Linked DNA regions of Rattus norvegicus. The main gene of each other region encodes a partner of the protein of the gene in region 2 in a complex. Links are inferred from orthologs where the notes say so. Each region holds a gene or a part of one and is shown on either strand. Other genes may lie near its edges.

Region 1 (10,206 bases), on a different chromosome or scaffold from region 2:
AGTTATGGATGGTCGTGAGCTGCCATTTGCGTGCAGGGATTGAAACCAGGTTCTCTAGAAGACCTCTCTGAAACCACTGAACATCTCTCCAGCCCCAATGTGCTTTTATTTAGAGATAAGTAGGGAAGTTGATGCCCAGGCACTCTCCGGATGAATGTTTTTGAACTGGGCAAACTTTCGAGATGTGCGGTCTTGCTAAGAAAATATTTAAATAACAAGAAAAATTGGGCATTCTTCATGTCATTTTTAAAGGAGTCACAGATCATTGAAAGCTCAAATTTCAAACTTCTGCTGAGTCTGTAAATTGATCCCATTTTAAAGCTGCACCGGGTCCTGCATGAGGGTGAATCTAGGCTGGACTTTGGACATGATCTTTACTCCCGTGATACCGTGGCTCTCTCAGCCTCAGCAGGAGGTGTACCTTAAGGTTCACTTTCTCAGCTGGGCAATTCCTCTGCATTCGGCTTGATCACTGGTCTTATTTTTTTTTTTTTCCGAGCAACAGTTGGGCTTTATATTTATCACACATAATTCTAAGGTTTAAAGCAGTTACTTTGTGGGAAGTATAATTGTTCCCAAACTTAGAATTATGTGTGATAAATATAAAGGGTTCAGAGCCAGTACTTATGAATTTCTAAATAAATTGCTGGGTATACTATTAGATCCTCACTCCTGGCCACTCTACAACAGGTTCAGCGAATAAACACAGCATGGGAAGGACGAGGGTTCTGCATTACTTAGCCTCCACCAAGCCTTCGTGTTATCCTTTTCTTCATGTATTCCTTTCGGGTTATTAATGACATTGGACTTGCTAACCCCAGAAGCTTAGAAGTCATACAGTTCAATGTCTCTGTGACATTTGGTTTATTGATCGGTGCCTCCTTTATGAAACCACCTTTTACAGCTGTCTCAACATCACTCACTCCTAACTGTCTTGCTGCCTGCTCTGGCCACATCTCAGCCTTCTTCCTCGACCTTTCTTCATCAGCGTTGCACAGGGATGCTCCCTTGACCTCTTTGCCCTTCCGGTCTGTGCTTTCTCGATTTAAATATCATTTAGGTGTGAACCACTTCCCAGTCTTCAGGCTCAACCCCTTAGAATTGGAGACTTCCAAATGCCTAAGTCAGTGGTACTCCCAAACCTACTCTCTGCTTACATTCCTCATCTCCGTGTAGGGCAGCACCGTCTTCCCCTGTCATTAGATTCATAGGCCACATCTGGCTTGAACTGTTGCATCCACAGAAGCATAATGTGACGCTCAAAGGTACTCTGGGGGCTGGGCGGCAGGGGCGCTCATGCAGGTCTACTGCTCACTAGGTGGGTGATCTCCTGTAAGATGTTTCCCTGCCTTCACCTGGCTCCGAAGAGAGGTTGAAGATAGCACCTACCTCCTCCAGGTTCTCATGAGGATTAACTTTGCACTTGCAGGTGTCCGGACAAGTGCCAGTGCAGAGAAAGTGCTTGCTGACCCATAGGAACTTTCCAGTTATGGATGGGAAGAACGCCCAGCTTCCCGAAAAGGGCTGTCAATGCAGAATCTCATCTAGTCCTCAAAATAATTCGTTAGGGAGGTATTCTAGTTGTCTTTGGAGAGCTGTGGAAACTGGGGCTTTAAGGCTAAGATACCTTGCTCAGGACCATATGGAGTTTTATTTAAGAGCTACTCCTAGAGCCAGTGTTGGGAACATTTATATGCACTGCTTACCCAGACCCAAGTTAGGTACTTGCTAAACATTCTTCAGAGACTCCATGTTGGTGTCATGGTCATATTTTACAATCTTGTTCTGACTTCCTTCAGGTGGTGTGGCCTGACTTGCTTTCCTGTTCCATCTCTCCTCCCTTCCTTCTCCCTTCTCGTCATCCTTCCTTTCTCTCCTTCTTCTTTCCTCCCCTACTTTCCTTTTCGGTGACTACTGAATGTCCAAGGGCCAGGCACTGTGCTCAATTCTAGAGGACAAGAAAAATGAGCAGTTTGTCCTATGGTGAGCAGAGAGTGATCAGACCGACCAAGGACGTGCGGAGACCTCACAGACAGTTTCAACCTTTTGGAGGCTGTTTGGGTCAGGTAACATTGTGACACTCTTAAGCAGCTCTGGCATCCTGCTATTTGCCCTTGAGATCTCCGAGGTGTGCTTCTTCCGCTTGTCAGATCGTTGTTTGAGACTGGATCTCAGAAGCATCGCTGCGATGTGCCATCTTTTACTCTCTCCTCAGCCAGAGACACTTGTCTCCTTATAGTATAGATCATGTCGTCGGCCATCAGTCTGTCCGTGGCTTTGACCAGACTTTCCTTCAAAGAAAAGACAGTTTTATGTCATTTTGAACTGTTCCTTCATTCCCAAAGGGCATGACTGGAATATTGTAATGTTCATTCATCAGAGTTTGGTTATACTTACAAGGGAAGTCTTAAGCAAAGGGCCCATCTGGTTCAGAGCAAAACTATTCAGATAATTTTTTTTCTTTTCTTTTTTTTTTTCAGAGCTGGGGATCACTCTACCACTGAGCTAAATCCCCAACCCCTCAGATAATTCTTAAAGCACTTGGCTTTATTCTCTGCCGAGAGTAGGTGTTCAGCAAATGCCATTCAAGTATTTGTTGAAGTATTTGTAATAATGCTAGGAATAAAGAAATTTCTGCTGGACATGGTGGTGTGTACCTTTAATTCTAACACTCAGGAGGCAGAGGTAGGGGAGGATTTCTGTTGAACTAGAGGCCAGCCTGGTCTACATAGAGAATTCCAGGTCAGCCAGGGCTACATAATAAGACCTTGTCTCATTTATTTTTCCTTATCCACATGTGTGGATAAATAAAGATTTTGTGTCTGGCTAGGCATCTGGGCTTTGAGTCAGGCTGGAGAAGAACTAGGAATTATTGGTTTTAGAGCTAGTACTAAGGATTTCATTTTTCCTTCAATCGGACCACAGTTCCTGAATCTTATATACAATTAAGGCTTGGGAGGGCTGCTCTGTGGTAACAGTGTACCCAGTGTATAATGCTCCCCTTCGCCCCTGTTTTTCTCCTGGCACTGTGCTGTTTTAGAAGGGGCCACTTTTTGATGGCAGAGAATTACCAGGCTGCAGGAGTCTGTCTCTTCCTTCTCTTCTCCTTGGCTTTGCTTATCCTTGCTATCTCCTTAAAAGAGATATGCGTTTATTATTTTTAATTATGAATACATGTGTGGGCCCATGTGTGGGTATTTTTATGTGAGTGCAAGCGTCCTTGGGTGCCACGAATACCCACAGAGCTGGAGTTACAGGTGGATTGGGAGCTGCTTGACAAGGGTTCTGGGAATCAAATTCAGGTCTGCTCTTACCTTCAGAGCCATCTCTCCAGCCCTCTGATTACTCTTGACCCAGAGGTTGAAGCTTTTGTACAAACATTTGCCAGAAAGATGTGCTCTTTCCTACCTCATACTCTATCTTTCTCCTGAAATTGAAATTGGCTGAAATTTAGTGGAAGGAAAGGAGAAAAAAAAATATGGTGGTGGTGGTGGTGTGTGCGTGCGTGTGTATGTGTGTGTTCAGAAGCCAACAGAGATCTATATTGTCCCAGGCACAGGTCTTCCCTAGCAAATCTTTGAGTCTCATGAAAGTTGTAAGAGTTAAAGGATAAAGTACATGTAGGGGGTTTAGAACAGTGCTTGCTACAGGGACAAGGATAGACATACTGGAAAAAAATGTCAGCCACTGCGTTATCCAGAGCTCCATCACCTGGGATGGGACCTGGGCTTTTCCCTCAGATAAGTCCTTCAGGGTAGTCACTCTCACATTGAATGTGGTACTTTGGTGTCTCAGTGATATCTTTCTTTCCAGAGGTCAGTCTGGATACAGGACTGTCTCACAGGGAGAGGAAGCATAGAGAATTCTCTTTCCTCTCAACATTGTTTTCCCTCTCAATCTTTGCCCCCAGTCCCAGTTAGCTGGATCGCAAAGTTTCAGTCCTGGTTTGTATTCAGATGTTTTGGCCTTTCTGGTAGTTCTAGGACTACCTAGACAACTACATTGAAATACAGAAGCAACACAAACTTTCTGGCACTGACATTTAAATTGATTTCAACAAGCATTTATTGAGCACCTAGAGCGTGTGAATACAGTTCCCTTAAATACAATTGACTCTTAACTGTTTCAACTGCTCAATTTGGATTTACTGCTGATTCATCTTAAAGGGTTTTATGAAGAATCAATATTAAAATGGAAACAATGTTTGCACAGTTCTCTGCAAACTTGTGTCTGTCTTGTGTGGATTATTGTTGCTCCAGTACCAAGATTAATTGCAGTAACAATAGTGCTGTTTCCCAGGCACAGTGTGGAAAGCAGCTGTAGGCAGACTGGAGGCAGGCGGAAGAGGTCAGGGGAGGTGCCTTCACAGTACGGCCCAAAGGGGCGGAGCATGAGGGAAAGCCCCCGAGGCCACGCCCCGTACTCTGCCCCCTCCGTCGGAGCGGCGTAGGCGGTTACCATGGCGATGACGTCTAGAGGGCGGGGCGGGGCGGGGCTATGGAGAGGAGGAGGAAGATGGCGGGAGGGCGGCTCTGAGGAGACCTCGGCGGCGGCGGAGGAGGAGAGAAGCGCAGCTTCGCGCAGCGCCGGGGCCCATGTGGGGAGGAGTCGGAGTCGCTGTTGCCGCCGCCGCCGCCTGTAGCTGCTGGAGCCGGGTGGGAGTGAGGGGGACACGGCAGGATGAAGTTCGCCGAGCACCTCTCCGCGCACATCACTCCCGAGTGGAGGAAGCAGTACATCCAGTATGAGGTACCCGCGGCTGCTGGGGTTGGGGCGGGCTCGGAGGGGCTGCCATCTCCCTAGGCGCGACCTCCGCCGCTGCCTTGAGCTCCCCGGCCCGGGCGGACTTTGACCCACCGCCGCGGGAAGCCACTGCGGCATCCCCGGCGCTGCTGGCCCCCGGCGGCCAGGCCGTCCTTCCCCTCCCCCGCAGCCCTCTGCCGCCGGGGTAACGGATATGCAGACGGCGGCGAGAGGAAGGGCACAGCCGGGCTGGGGCTGGGGCTGGGGAATAGTGGTGGGAGGCCAAGCCGCAGGTGCGACGGCGGCCCGGGGTCGCGGCGGTTCGGCGTCACCCCCTCCGCACTCACCCTGACCTCTGGTCCCCACCGCGGAAGATCACCCCCTTTGCCAAGGTTAGGTGCTTTTCGCTGCTCACCTCTCGCCAGAGAACCGTGCTCTTGCAAGAAAAACCCCTCCAGCGATTGCCTTCATTCCACCCAGCCCGTCGGCTTACCTCCACTTACCCACTGTTGACAAAGGCTTTGTAACAGGGTTGAAACTTGGTGAAATGTGTATCATCTAATGCAGTGGTTATAGTTTTCAAACGCATCGAACCAATAGTTCTGTTTTGATAAGGAGACGGTGCCTCGTCTTTGTACTGATTGCACGAACTATACAGAATAACCACATCTTTGGGATTTTCACTCTTCTCTGGTTTGGGACTGGAGGGAAGAGGAAGGAGGGAGGAGAATTATTTAAAATTTCAGATTTTTCTGCTAAGTTTTTGGTAGGGAGAAAAAAATCACTGTCATATAAATACTGTACCTTACTTGTGTATTACACAAGTCGTGTTCTTCCTTTCAGTTTCTTCTTCTTGCACAGCTTTTGGACGGTTTTTAATACACATTGTAAGGGACCTTGCATCAATATTGGGAAAAGTAAAGAAGTGAAAACCACTTACATACTTAAAAGGTAGAATACCTGAATGAAAGGGATTTTTTTTTTTTTTTTAAGCTTCAATAGGTTGTTCTCAGAAGCTAGTAGATCAGCTCCTGGAGAGAGAAAAGACAGCGGATCTGTGACCTCCAGGAACTCACATCTATGGTATGAGCAGGAACAAAGAATATAAAATCAATAGGAACATGCACACACATACTAACTAGGTTTTATGAATTAAGATATTTTGGATTTCCTTTTTAACTTTTATATAAATTTAGTGATAGGATGTTTAGGCAACAGCAGCAAGTTCATTTATTCATGTAGCCATTGTAATAATTGAAGAGCGGGGAAAGGGATAGTTAGGTTAAACAGAATCTTGAAGAGTGTAAAATAAGTTTACTTGTAATATATTGTATTTAATGCCAGAAATGAACGGCTCATTACTAATGCTCTCTTGTCAGTTTCCTTGTAATCTTCCCTTGCCACATTCTGTGAGGAAAGGTCCTAACAGTTCAGGCTGTGGAATTGTTGATTTATTGTCTGTAATAACATTCAGTCAGTTTTAAAGCCTTGGCTAGAGTCCAGATGGTGGGTTTCATTGAGACAAGGGCATTGGGTTTTCATCTTCCTACCAGCACTTTCAGCACCGCTGCCAGTTCTTCCCAGAGCTTAGTGCTGGAGCGCGGACAGTGTGGAATGCTTGCTTCTGGTCAGAGGAGCCGTGGTTGGACATATCCTGAGATTCTTTTTAAGTATTTCAACATTTGACTATTTTACAGAATTAATGTGGACTATCTTGGGCTGGAAGGGGAAGCCTAATTTAGTTTAAAAAAATGCAATTAACCCTTGATTTGTAATGTCAGCTTTGTGGCTGGAGTAACAACAGTGACTCTGGGACTCCTCAATTTACAGTCTATTTGGTTACTATTATTTCTAAATGGTTACTCTAGATTGGTCACAGTGGGACAGAATTCCTATGCTTCTGAGCGACTGCATTATCTTTCTCAGACCAATTATAAATTACTCTTGAAAAATTCATTTATTGTGGATAATTGAAATTTGATTCTACAGAGATTTCCCTACTATGTACCTCCTACCTCAGTAAATTCATCGTTCCATAGGCGAGGTGAAAAATAAGGGGCTCTTTTCTTTGTAAGTTGGAACCATTAAAGACATTTGCATGGGATTGCAGTCTTTGTGTTGTGTATTATTTCCAAAGATTTGGTGCTATTCCTTTAAAAATAGCATAGAGGTATAAGTTAGAATTTTTGAGGTCTGGAAATGTTAGAATGTTAGCTTCCTTAAAATGTTAGGGAAGGGACCCTGACTCAAAAAAAAAAAAATTGCCAGGGATAAAAAGTATCTATATTTAAAAGTCAGCTTTTGCTAGGGAAAAAGACCTTCACTTAATTTTTTGTAGTATGTATTTTTACATAGGGGAAATGATGCTCTCTAAAACAGCAGAACAGACTTGGATTTGTTTTTCAAGCATTGTTGATGAAATTTTGATGTATTACCCTTCGTTGAAGCCTAGGCTGCCTTCTAGTACTCTGAACCAACATGAACTGTTCAGCCTCTTTGTCTGTCAGCTTAGTAAATATTACTTTAATCAGGAGGAGCTTTCCATCTATAATTCTATGTAACACTTAATTATATATAATATTATGGACACACGGCTGCACTGTAAGCTGGCTCTTGTGTATGTTAGCTGTGAGGCTCTGGAGAGAATGTTCCTGCTCTTCCTGCTTTCTTCTTCTTTATAAAAAATACATATGAGGCCAGAACCTTTTAAGGCCTTCCCAAGTGTTTGGCTTAACTTTTAATTCTTTTTTATTCTTGAATTGCTGAAATTATTAATGATAGTAGCATATAATATCCTGAAAATTATTAGTCTTCCACTAGAAATGTGTGCTTTCATAGGCAGAATAAGTACAAAGGAATAGAGAGGCATGGGAAGACCATGTACAGGACATCTAGGCGATACTTTGTAGTTTTACTGGGAATAAACACAAATGAGTAGACACTCTCTTTGTTTCTAATAACCCAAGTACAAATCTCAGTGTGGAAAGTAGAACATCAACAAGTATTTCTAACAGTACTTTAAAGAAATGTGGAATCAATGGTTGTATAGTTCAGAGGTCTATAATAGGTTAATCAAAATTAACCCAGGCCAGTTTCATCCAAACAGACTAGTATGATCAGTTAATATTTTATAGAATATTAACAAAGGAGGCAAATATGTTTGAAGCCTTTGATTGATGATGTGATTTTTCGTTCGAGGGTCCTGCTCATTGGTTTCTTAGGACTAAGAATGACTTCAGTAACTACTGTAGAAAGCATAAGGTACTAAAACAATGAGCTCTCTAGAGTTCAGGAATTGAAAGGGAATTTTAAAGATTATCTGTCTCTTTGCTTTTTCAGGCAAAGAAGCTATGGTATATGAAGGTTAAGCTACTTGTCATCTTTTGAATGTGTGCACATGCTCGCAAGCGCACCCCCACACATCCACACCCCCACACCCCCACACACCCACACACCCCCACACCCTCACATACCCCCATACCCCCACACAGCCCCACACCCTCACACACCCCCACACCCACACATCCACGCACCCACACACACCCACACACCCACATCCACACACACATCCACACACTCACACCCACACATCCACATACCCACACACACCCACACACCCCCACACACCCATACACCCACACACCCACACACACCCATACACCCACATACCCATACACACCCATACACCCACATACCCATATACACCCACATATCCACACATCCACACACTCACACATACCCACACACCCACACATCCACACACACCCACACACACCCATACACCCACATACACCCACACATCCACACACCCACACACACCCATACACCCACATACCCATATACACCCACATATCCACACACCCACACACACCCACACACACCCATACACCCACATACACCCACACATCCACACACCCACACACACCCATACACCCACATACCCATACACCCACATACCCATACACACCCACACATCCACACACCCACACACACCCACACACACCTATACACCCACATACCCATACACACCCACACATCCACATACCCATACATCCACACACCCACACACACCCACACACACACCCACACACACCCACACACCCACATACACCCACACACCCACATACACCCACACACATCCACACACCCACACACACTCACACACCCACACACTCACACACCCACACACTCAGCTAGCTTCTTGAGCACTGTATGTTTTAGTATTGGGAAACAGGTCACATTAGCTGTGTGATTGAACACTGATGGATTCTGAGTAAGCCTCATATGATCTACCATTCATCTAAAGTTCTGTGCTTTGTTATGGTTTAATTAAGTTTATGAAGAGAGAATTTAGGAAACTATTTTAAATTCTAATATGAAATTAATGTTTAAAAATCACCTTTTCAAAAACTTTAGTAAAACGCCAGTCATAGTGACTCCCAGCACCAGGGAGGCAGAGGCAGGAGAATCTTTGTGAGTTGAGATCAGCCTGATCTACATGGTGAGTTCCAAAGTCACATAATGAGACCCTGTCTCAAAAACCAAACCAAACAAACAAAAAACAAAAACAAAACTATAAATAAATAAATAAATAAATAAATAAATAAATACATTAAAACACTAACTTTTTAAAATTGTGTTTTTCCTCTATGACTGGAAAACCCAGTGAAACTGTTTCCCTTGCTGGGAATTGAACCCAGGACTTTGAGCATGCTAAGCAAGTCGCCATACCGTTGGGCTATTCCCCCAGCATAAGCCTTATTTAACTTAAATAAACAAGTAATGGTCACGAGCTGGTTTTCTGTTGTGTGATATGGCAGATGCAGTGCATGCAGTACACTTCCTTATTTTTCAGTGTCAGGAAGCATTGCCACTGTGTTGTTGTGATTCTCATGTCTAGAACCCTCCCATGGGAAAACTTGTGTTGCAGGCTTCAGTGTCTCAAAGGTATTATGTTGATTAGTTAGGGTTCACATGCCTTGCTGGAACTTGTTTGATATTTCCAGTTCAGCCACCCGATGGAGCACAAACCACACTCTTCCTTTACAGGACTTCTGCAAATAAAAATAGTGTAGTATGTTTTAAATAGTGTTGTAAATGATTCTTAGTGAGATGCTTGGCATTCACAAATAGGATTTAAACGAGTGAATCAAAGTTCTCATTGTTCTTTATTGTCTCTGTAAAGTGTGTTAGGGTAAGTATCCTGGTAAGATTACACTCGTCCATCCATTCCTGAGGTTGGCTTTGGATCAGCTTTTGGGTGAAGGCCCAGATCATAAGAACCTAAGACTCTTATTTGACCTGGGGTGACCATGGAAAACCAGCCCTGACTTCACTCCTCATTTGGAAAAACATTTGAGAGACTGAGTTATACTAGCCGGAGGTTTCAGGTATATTTGAATTTTAGGCCCCAAACCAGTATACCCCAAACTCTACAGAATAAGTGAAGAAAGTGTTAAAACT
Region 2 (10,106 bases):
ACCTCGTTTAGTTAGTTTGTTAGGTTTATAGGAAAATCCATATTTACCCCATGTATCTTGTGTATCCTCTGTTATCAACAGCTGTCACCAGAGTGATGCATTTGTTCAGTCCCCTGTATTGTAGTCAGACTCAGTTTGCATTAGGTTCAGCCTTGGTGCTGTACACTCTTTGGGTTTGCATAAGTGTTTGATAGCATAACATATGCAAGATTACAGTATGTTTACTGCCGTGAAAGTGCCTGCTTTCCTGTTCAGCCTCTGTCTCTCCCCAAACATGTCAGACCCTGAGGAGTTCACCGACTCAGTAGCTGCGTCTTTCCCATGATGTCATGTAGTTGCAACCATGCAGTATGTAGCCCTTTCCTATTGACTTCTTTCATCCCTTTCATGGCTTAAAATTCCGTTGCTTTTTAGGCCTGATGAATATTGTTGCCTGAATGAAGAGTGTACATTTATTCAGTAGTTATGAATACAATTGCTATAAGTATCTGTGCTCAGGTTTTTGTGTAGATGTAAATTTTTTAGCTCTTTTGATAAATAACAAGAATTATAATTACTGAACTTTATAGCATGAGTATATTTAACTTTGTTTAAAACTAGATGCCACCAAGGAGCCAAGGGTATTGTAGCCATTAGTAGGTGTTTTGGGTGGAATTCAAGTCCAAGGCTTTTGTCATTCAGAGTCTAGTTCTGGCAAGTAAGTCTCTCAGCCTCCTCTGTAGTCAGTCCTACCACAGCATCCCCTGATGACATTCTAAGAGTCAAGTATTGTCAGTCCATAACTGAAACCCTTGCAACAGGTTTAAATGGAACCACTGCCAGCAGCAAGAACTTCGGGTTTCTTTTCTTCCCTTTAGATGGGTTTCTCTTGTGCTTCTAAAGGAGTGTGCCTTACCTTCTTGTGTCTTCTGTGCTTTGTGCAGGTCCTGAAGTGTGAGGTGGAGCTGATGGCCAGGATGGCAAAAACCATTGACAGCTTCACTCAAAACCAGACAAGGCTGGTGGTTATCATTGACGGCCTGGATGCCTGCGAGCAGGATAAAGTCCTTCAGATGCTGGACACTGTATGTCTCACTGTCTCACTGTCTCAGCTTGCCACTGTGGCCACGTAGGATGCATGACTTCACAAAATATCTCAGTTAGGATGGAAACTGTGCTTCTTATTTAAGAAACACTGCTTTCTTTAGTGAAACTCTCTTTCATAAGAACTATATTTTAAAATTCAGAATTACAGCAAAAGTTAATGTTTGATCAAGAATGTTTAAATCCTTTCAGCCTGATGGTGCTTTAGGAAAAAAATACAGCAAAAACTCACACGGAGTATCTCTAAATGACAAGCGTGGCTGAGCTGTGCAGGCTGTCATGTTTGTACTCTGAGATGACAGAGGAACCCATAGATTTTGTAGTGTTGTTAAAGCAGACTGCTGTAATCTGAGGTTTGTTATAACAGCAGTGCTTAACCGAGTGTACAGAACTCACGTGTGCTCCCAGAAAGTTGCCTCGCATGTTGAGCTTGCTTTTGTGTAGGCTCCAGGTGTCTGAGAAGGAAACCCCTAAGATTGAGCCATCTATAAAAGTTGTTTTTATAGAGAATACATTTTGATGAGAAATGAATGATATTAAAAGATAAAGCACCAAAGGATAGTACAGATTTTAAAAAGGAATTTTTTTTGTACATTTTAAAAATTTGTGTCACATCCATACCTTTCTTCTACCACAGGTCCGAGTTCTGTTTTCAAAGGGCCCTTTTATTGCCATTTTTGCAAGTGATCCGCATATTATCATAAAGGCCATCAACCAGAACCTGAATAGTGTGCTTCGTGACTCAAATATAAACGGACATGACTACATGCGCAATATAGTTCACTTACCAGTTTTTCTTAATAGTCGTGGGCTTAGCAATGCAAGGAAATTCCTTGTAACTTCAGCAACAAACGGGGACATTACATGCTCAGACACCACAGGTAAGCGTCAGCCCTACAGTACTCAGGCTTGAAGTAATCTGGAAGGTTTTTTATAGTTTCTCTTTGCCTTGAAAAATGTTTCTATTTTACATCTCTTTAATATCACACAAAACAACCCTGCACACAGTGCTTGTATTGATGACTTCCGTTGCTGAGATGAAACACCATAACCAAGGCAGCGTGTAGAAGGAAGGGTTTATTTCGCTATGGTTCCGAAGGGATAAGACTCCAGCACCGTCATGCAGGGAAGTGTGGCAGTGTGTGGACGGCATGGCGGCTGGAGTAGGAAGTCGAGAGTTCACATCTCACACTGCAAGCAGGAAACAAGAGAGCAAACACAAATGACATGCATCTTCAAACTCTCAAAACCGTCTCTCCGGGGACACACTTCCTCCTCAGGCCTCACCCCAAACCTCCCCAACAACAGCATCAAGTGGGGGCAAGTGCTGAAACTCCCGAGACTCTGGGAGACTCATCTTAACCACCATAGCGCTGTCTCCATGCTTTCTTCCAGGAACACAGGAGGACACTGACAGAAGAGTTTCACAGAACAGCCTTGGGGAGATGACAAAGCTTGGGAGCAAAACGGCTCTCAACAGAAGGGTAAGGTGCCATTCGTGCCACTTAACCTAATGGTCTGATTGACTTTTCCTCAGAGTCTTGGGGTTGAACCCAAAGCCTTGTGCATGCTAGGCAAATATTCTGCCACTTAGCCATACCCTGACTCTGATTTTTTATTTTTTTAGCAGTCATTCAAATAAAGTTAAGTGAGTGACACCTCATGTTCTTCAGTAAACATGGTGGTAAGCTCCTGAGATCAACATCAGTGCTGAGCTTCCTATCAGCATCAACTGCCTCTGAGCTGCCTGGGGCAGTAAGGACCGTGGTCTGGGAGGAGGCCTGCTCCTCGGCAGCCTCTTCCCAGGTCATGAGGTGACTGCTCCTCCAGTAGTAGGACTCATAGCCAGCAAATGATCGTGGCCTCACACTCATTCCTGAGCAGGTGCCATCCTTACTTTATCTCTCTAGGTTCTTCCTCCTTGCCCAGCATTTGCAAGGTCTGGATCGTAGTCTCCACACCCAGCTGTGGTTCTAGCCCTTCCCAGTCTCCTTGGGTTTCTGGTCATTACTTCAGACTCTGTCCATTCATAATATTTGTAGGGCAAAACCAGATGTATTTATCTAGGCTCATAAAGTGGGAGGATGTTCTCTGGCAGGGAGCCTTGCTGATCGTGTCGCTCAGGGGTGGCCAACATGGGCTTACACTGGCCTTGCCTTTCTTCTTGTTTGCTACCATTTGGACATTACTTTTTAAACCTCATGTCTTTGGTTTTGTGCCCACATGCTTTACAGGTTATGAATTCAGAGTTAATATGAATGACAAATGATATAGCCAAAGTCAGGGGAGTGTGTGATTCCACATTGTGAATTTCTTTCCTGGCAGCCCCAGTTCTTGGGTACCAATGGTTTCGACCTTTTCCATGCTTTAGGACCCAGGATTCCTTATCCACTCCCCTACTCTGCAGAGTGCCTTCAGCTCTCTGAGGAAATGCCATTCCCTGGCTGTGCCTGGGATAAAACAATGTAACACTTTGAAACAGCCTAAGACAGAGAGGCTGAGTCCCTGAAACCATGAAGGAACCTACCTGCTTCATTGTTTTATGGTTCCTGAAGCACGGCTTCATGGAGCTTGACTGTGATTCTCTTTCTGGAGTTCTGTGTACCTCTCATCTGAGACATTAAGCTTTCCCTCACTGTACGGTTGTCAGTGTACATGGGCTAGAACCTGCCAACTACTGTGTAGCTGCTCTGGAAAGTGTCTGCCTTAGAAGCACCCACACTTGATTAGCCTGTAACTGTTCTCTTCGGTTAATATTGTGAATTGTGTTTTTCTTACCCACTGAGTACTCTGCTGTCTGTTTTGTTGTTCCTACCACAAGCATCCATGTTAACCCTCAAGGATGGATGTTTCTCTCTCATTGGTGCTGTCGTTTCAGGACACTTACCGCAGAAGACAGATGCAGAGAACCATCACGAGGCAGATGTCCTTTGATCTCACAAAGCTGCTAGTCACTGAGGATTGGTTCAGTGACATCAGCCCTCAGACCATGAGACGGCTACTCAATATTGTTTCTGTGACAGGTGACTTTTATTTTCCATGTTCTGTGATAGATAATAGTTTTTATTTTGTTTATTTTATTTTATTTTTTTTTTTTGGAGCTGGGGACCGAACCCAGGGCCTTGCGCTTCCTAGGTAAGCGCTCTACCACTGAGCTAAATCCCCAGCCCCTGTTTATATTTTTTTGAGGTAGTAGGTATTGAACTCAGGGCTTGTGCAAGCTCCGTGAATGTTCTGCTATTGAGTTATCCCCCAGCCACCACCACAAGCTTTAAAGTTAGCAGAGCGCTTTGAGTATAAGCTCTGTTTGTAGTAGTAGTTGACAGTAGTAATTGACAATCTGATATCACTTGGACATTTATTTTAAAATTTCATGATTTTAAAGGTCTTTTGCTTTATATTTAGGCTAAATTTATGTAGTTTACATAACAGTACAATTAATATTTGTGCTGAAACTCAGATTTTTATATACTGCTATGTTGTTTCAGTTTTTATATAATATTTTGAATAAAAATGTTTGTAATGCAATGGGGACTGTTAGCCAGGCAGTGGTGGCACACATCTTTAATCTCAACACTCTGGAGGCAGAGGCAAGCCTATCTCCTTCTGATCAGGTTCAAGGCAAGCCTGGTCTACAGAGTGAATTGTAGGACAGCCAGAGCTACACAGAGAAATCGTGTCTTGAACACCCCCAAGCCTGCCCCGCCCACTCCCCAAAAGGTGCTTATTGCTGTGACTGAATTCTGTGTGGATGCTGCTCTTCTGTATGTGAAGACTAGCATTAAAGCAGTCATAGACACACTTTGCCATTTAACTTATAGAGTGGGTTTCTTCCCTTGCATGGTATTGCCTACTACCTTCTGGTATTTCCTAGTGTTGATTCTGTCAACTGGAATTGCATTTTATACTAGTTTAGGGCTCATGACATAAACTGTATTATTGGTGGGATCATACCTAAGATAGCATTTTTATAGTTAAATCTCTTTAAATGAGACCTCAACCTTCCCATGCTGGTTCGAAAGAGGAACTATTTCCTGCTATTATTGCTAACACTGATATACTCACTTGGCAATAGGTCCTATCATCCTCCTTATGCCAAAGGATTGGTCTGGACATTGTAGAAATTAAACAGGAATTAAGGCAGCAGCTCTCCCCCTCATTACCTTCCTTCCCTGGGACTTCTGGCTCTGCCCTGCCTTGGCCCTCACTTCTGCTCTCAGCACAGCTCCTTGGTAGAGTACACTCTCTCATACTGCTCTCCACCCAGGCCTCCCAGACTTCCCACATGGAGCACACAGGGCCAGGGCCCCATCCTTGTCTGGACCCCACAAGCATGTAGAAATGACGTCCCTCTAACTGTGCCAGTTAGCATATTGTTTCCTCTTGCTCTTTAACTTTGGGCTGCTCGTGATCACAGTTCTTGGGGATCAGGTTTGTATCTTGACTGGTTTCATTAACATGGCCTGTCATGGTTCTCCGCCTGTGTGAGCAGTGAGTTTGCTCAGTTCTGCCCCTTCTAGCTTACATGTGAGCTTCCCCATGAGACCTTCCTGCATCTCAAATGGACTGACTCTTCCTCCTCCTTCCACATTTGATCCTCCTCCTCCTCCAAACAGCTGTCTTCCGACAGACACTGTCTTTGTCTATTTGCTCTCTGGAAGGGGACACCCTCATGCCAGGGTCTTTGTCTGATCTGCTTAACTGTCGTACCCACTTCAGCATCTGGGATTGATTGTGAATGAGTAAGAGACCTGAATGAAGTTAGAACCACACTTTACATGCTTCTTGAGAGAAGCGTTCTGAGGAAAAGGAGCAGCATCTGCAAAGGCTGTGAGCTGGATTCTGAGAACAGCTAGAGTGCCAGCCTGAGTGGAGTCGGAGGAGCAGAGTGGTGTGACGTGGTGTGAGACAGCTGCAGCTCATTTGAGGCCTTATGGCTCCAAAACGGGAAGGACTTTAGATTGCTGACATCTTCAGGTACGCCAAAGAGACCTGGCCTGATACCTCTAAATGGTAGCCAGGCCAGTGGTACAGACTCAACATGTTAGCCACTCCCAAGGCTCAGGCACGAGGCTCTCAAGTTCACGGCCAACCTGGGCAACTTAGTGAGTTGGATGTGGAGGTTTACATCTGTAATCCTAGCACTCTGGGAGTGGAGGCAGGAGAATAGGTATGTCAGAGCCAGCCAGGCTACTTGAGACCCTATGTTTTAAAAACCAAAAACTCAGCCTTCTACAAGAAGTATATTGTCAAGCTTGTTTCAGTGCTCGGACTTTCATTTTTATTGTTGCCCCAAAGACACATTCAGCTAAATACTCATCTAGTTACTTCACAGGTTGGTGTGTGTTTGTTGGATTTCTCATCTGCTTTGCCGAGTGAATGCTTCTCAGGAAGGCTGTGGCTGTATCATCTGTTCTGTTCCGGGTTTTACCTCAGAGTTAGTATTGTATTCATGGGTCCATAGCTGGCAGACATAGCTCACTGGGATGGAGGAGTCACATCCTGTTATCCACAAGCAAAGCAGATCCACCTTCCAGGAAGGTCAGTGGTGAAAATGCACAGTAAGGGTCTGAGGCAGGGAAGAGCTGGGTGAGGGTCATTGTCTGTACAGTGAAGGTGGGACAGGAGGATTCCCAGGAGAGCCTGTCAGACAGGTGGACGTGAGTCCAGGTATGGACTGACCTGATGATACGAGAATAGAGCTGCTCGTGTTTTTATGTGAGAGCCAAGCCTGTTTGCGATCCTGTCAAGGTGAAGGCGATGAAACACTGGAAGGAAGCCTTGATTCTGAAAGCTCACCAGTTTCAGTTGTCCTCAAATAGCATGCCCTGGGAGGAGAGCTGAGTTCAGTCCTCTGAACACCCTACAAACAGGCTCTTTTTATCAATAATGTAGACAACAAGTTTTAGATTCATTGTAATTAATATGATCTATCCCAGTAGGTAAGAAGGGAAGTGAATTAAGCCATAAAACAAAGACAGACCAGTATGTTTGGGTTCCATTAAGGACCTGGAGAGGTCCTTAGCAGTCAGCAGTGAGAACTACCATGGTGTTTTATTTTGTTTGTTGGTTTATTTTTTGAGACAGCCTTACTGTGAAGTTCAGGTTGGCCTCAAGACTTCTACTTCAGCCTCCTGTGTGCCAGGATTACTGATGTCTGCCACTGTGCCCTCTGAATCTTTAAAATCTGGATTTTACAAACCACATAAATACTTGGTTTAAATCTGTATTGTAACCAAATGTCAAAATTTTCAAATATTTCAATTATTTGTGACTATGCTGAACATTTCACTTAGTATGCATACTAATTTTTGGATGTTTATGGATTTGTTAAAGGGCGGCTACTAAGAGCCAATCAGATTACTTTCAACTGGGACAGGCTAGCCAGCTGGATCAACCTCACCGAGCAGTGGCCGTACCGGACGTCTTGGCTTATACTATATCTGGAAGAGACTGAAGGTCTCCCTGATCAGATGACCTTAAAGACCATCTATGAGAGGTATTTTATTTGACTGCTTTGCACTTAACTCTGCTTTGAATTCTAAAACACAAATAGTGCGTGCAAAATCTCTCCTTCTGAATCCAGTAGATCCAGGTCAGGCATCTGAGCATGCGCTGTCGTGATGCGAGAGCGAACAGGCTCAGGGTTCTTGTCCCTATAGCTTTTCCATCGTAGCCCCATGGCCTTTCTCTGGATTGCTGTTTATTCAGGTGTCTGTCCCATGCACCTGGGATGTATAACTTCCTCAGCTGCTCTTGTGTCTTTAGCTCTGCCTTCACGATGTGTGCATCGTTTCCTCCAGGGCCACCTGCATTCACACCAACCCTGTCACACTTTGCTTGTCTTCCTAGGCTTTTCTGAAAAATTTGTGTGTAGTGTCTATGACCCTGTAACATTTCCATTCTGTATGTCTGTAAAACTGGCATCAGATAGGTGACACCGAAGTGTGCAGAGTACTCACATGTTTTGGCGTGTCCCTGTCCCTTCAGTAGCTCATTCCCTTTTCTTCAGAACCTTACATGTGCTACTTGTTTAAAACTAAGGTTTTCAAATCCTTCTGGTCCAGTTTTGCTCTCAGTTCTTCCTGTAAATACGACTGAAAGTAGCTCTTGGCATTTCCTCTGCCGGGTTACGTAGCCCATTCTTTTTTTTTTCTTTTGGTTCTTTTTTTCGGAACTGGGGACCGAACCCAGGGCCTTGCGCTTCCTAGGCAAGCGCTCTACCACTGAGCTAAATCCCCAACCCCTATGTAGCCCATTCTTTAAACTCAGCCCCCCCCCCCTCCGAAGTATAGAATAGAATAGAGTTTATTCAGGGCATGGCGGTGGGAGTTAGGAGGGTAGTAGAGACAGAGAAAGGTAGAGAGGGAGAGAAGAGGAGAGAATTAGAGGCCGGCCATGAGCATGTGGAGGGGGCGCAGGGAGGGACGAGAGGACAGAGCAGGGGCAGGAAGGCAAGAGCAAGAGCAACTCAGCATCTTCTAAAGTCTTAAAGCACAGACAAAACAGACAGGACTGGGCCAGAGAGATGACTCTTGCAGCTGACCTGGGTTTGGTTCCCAATACCCTCTTCCAACTTCTGTGGGCACTAGGCACGCATGTGCTACATGCAGGTAAAACACTCATACACATGAAATAAGTCTAAAAAATATTTTAATGGAGACAGGATCTTTGCCAGAATGTAGTACAGAATGTGTGTGGCCTTCTAGTTCCCTCCTGTTCCCAGCACAGGTCGTTTTGTGCCCGAAGCCTGATAATCAGTGCTTACTGCTCTTGTTCCCATCCACATTCCAGTGCCTTGGGTTCCCCTGTTATAGCCCACCAGCTCTTCTTAAGGCATCCTGGGGCTTCTCCAGCTTACAGCCCCAGCCTCTCCAGACTCTTCCTGCAAACCAGGTGGATGGCCACAGCAGTCACTCTGTTTGTCTCGTACTCATTCTCTGTATTAGTAGACTTTCAGTGCTGTGACTGCAGCTAAGGAGAGGATGGTGGTATTTAGTTCATGCTTTCAGAGGTCTCTGTCTGGTGTGGTGAGGAGAGCCTGGGAGAGCAGAACTGCTCTCATTGTGGCAGACAAGAAACAGAGAAAGAATTGCCTGTGCTTTGCTTGAAAATTAAAGTTTGCATTATAGAGTCCACCATCTGAACCTTATAGGTAGTTCTGATTTTTTTCTCAGTTTTTAAATTGAAATATGTCTTGAGGCAAGAAGGTATAGAGGAACACGTGCACGTTGCTTAAAGATAATAGCAAGTGTACCCTTTTATGAAAAAATAGAATATTGTGAAAGAATTATTTGGGGCTGGGGAAATTTTTTTAAATCATAATGAATACAAATTATAGTGAATTTTTAGGGGAATATTTTATTTTGATCACATCAATATAGAATAATGTGTATTAGAGACAAAATGAGACCATGCCAACTTCCTTTTGTGATTTAGTCAAACTATTACATTAGACCTCAGCCCTGACGGCCTTGCTGTCCGAGAGCAGACTGACTTAGTATGGCTCTGAGATGCTTTTCTTTTTAAATCTGCCTATGTCTATAACTACTTACAGAGAGTGTTTGTAGTTAGCCAACAAAGAGAAAAAGATAGTGTGGAAAGAAATCTGAAAATTCATAAAGGATTTTACTTAAGATAATTAAATAAAATAATTTGCAATGAACAACTGTAGGAAGACAGTTTGCTCAACTTATTGGAAACCCGTCTTTTGCTGTAGCAATTTGGTTGTCTGTTTCTACTTACCCACGGCTGAGTTCTTTGGTGCTTGTCATTTGAATAATAAAAAGTTTTATTTACAGCTGACAAAAAGCAGCAGTATATAATTGATATTCATTTGTTTTATTAAAGAAATCTGATTTGGTAAAAACAATCGGAAAATAGTATTTTTAACGCTAGTAGTAAAATTTATTTTTTTTAATCCATAAAAAGCTTCATTTATTTTTATAGCAATTTGATGACACATCTGCTTGCTTTATTCAGCTGAAAAAGAAAATGTTGGTTCTTGATGTTTGGTAAAATTG

What was found. The genes of interacting proteins can lie anywhere in the genome.
Region 1: the proteins of Kidins220 (region 2) and Xpr1 are in contact, whole or in part, in a cryo-EM structure (PDB 9JXQ), measured with the Homo sapiens proteins. The link is inferred for Rattus norvegicus from reciprocal best matches to the Homo sapiens genes KIDINS220 and XPR1. Residues at the interface, in NP_065789.1 of Homo sapiens: Glu36, Cys37, Gln39, Asp70, Trp72, Met102, Trp105, Trp110, Tyr113, Lys114, Val138, Ile142, Trp143, Gly146, Arg147, Ser166, Asp167, Lys168, Tyr169, Gly170, Trp176, Arg179, Lys180, Gln198, Glu199, Gly200, Ala201, Ser203, Lys234, Arg267; in NP_004727.2 of Homo sapiens: Leu95, Lys189, Lys190, Gln193, Glu197, Ala200, Asn204, Glu205, Ala636, Asp637, Asp638, Leu641, Leu642, Gln644, Met645, Met646, Asp647, Gln648, Asp649, Asp650, Val652, Arg653, Asn654, Arg655.

The regions. Positions count from the first base shown.
Region 1 is NC_086031.1:70,130,544-70,140,749, reverse strand, and holds the start of Xpr1 (xenotropic and polytropic retrovirus receptor 1), read left to right. Parts: upstream 1-4,585; 5' UTR 4,586-4,680; coding exon 4,681-4,749; intron 4,750-5,736; exon of another isoform or gene 5,737-5,823; coding exon of another isoform or gene 5,824-5,826; intron 5,827-10,206. UniProt on the Homo sapiens protein: Inorganic ion transporter that mediates phosphate ion export across plasma membrane.
Region 2 is NC_086024.1:47,385,341-47,395,446, forward strand, and holds part of Kidins220 (kinase D-interacting substrate of 220 kDa), read left to right. Parts: intron 1-923; coding exon 924-1,064; intron 1,065-1,720; coding exon 1,721-1,964; intron 1,965-2,478; coding exon 2,479-2,567; intron 2,568-3,961; coding exon 3,962-4,106; intron 4,107-7,419; coding exon 7,420-7,582; intron 7,583-10,106. UniProt on the Homo sapiens protein: Promotes a prolonged MAP-kinase signaling by neurotrophins through activation of a Rap1-dependent mechanism. Provides a docking site for the CRKL-C3G complex, resulting in Rap1-dependent sustained ERK activation.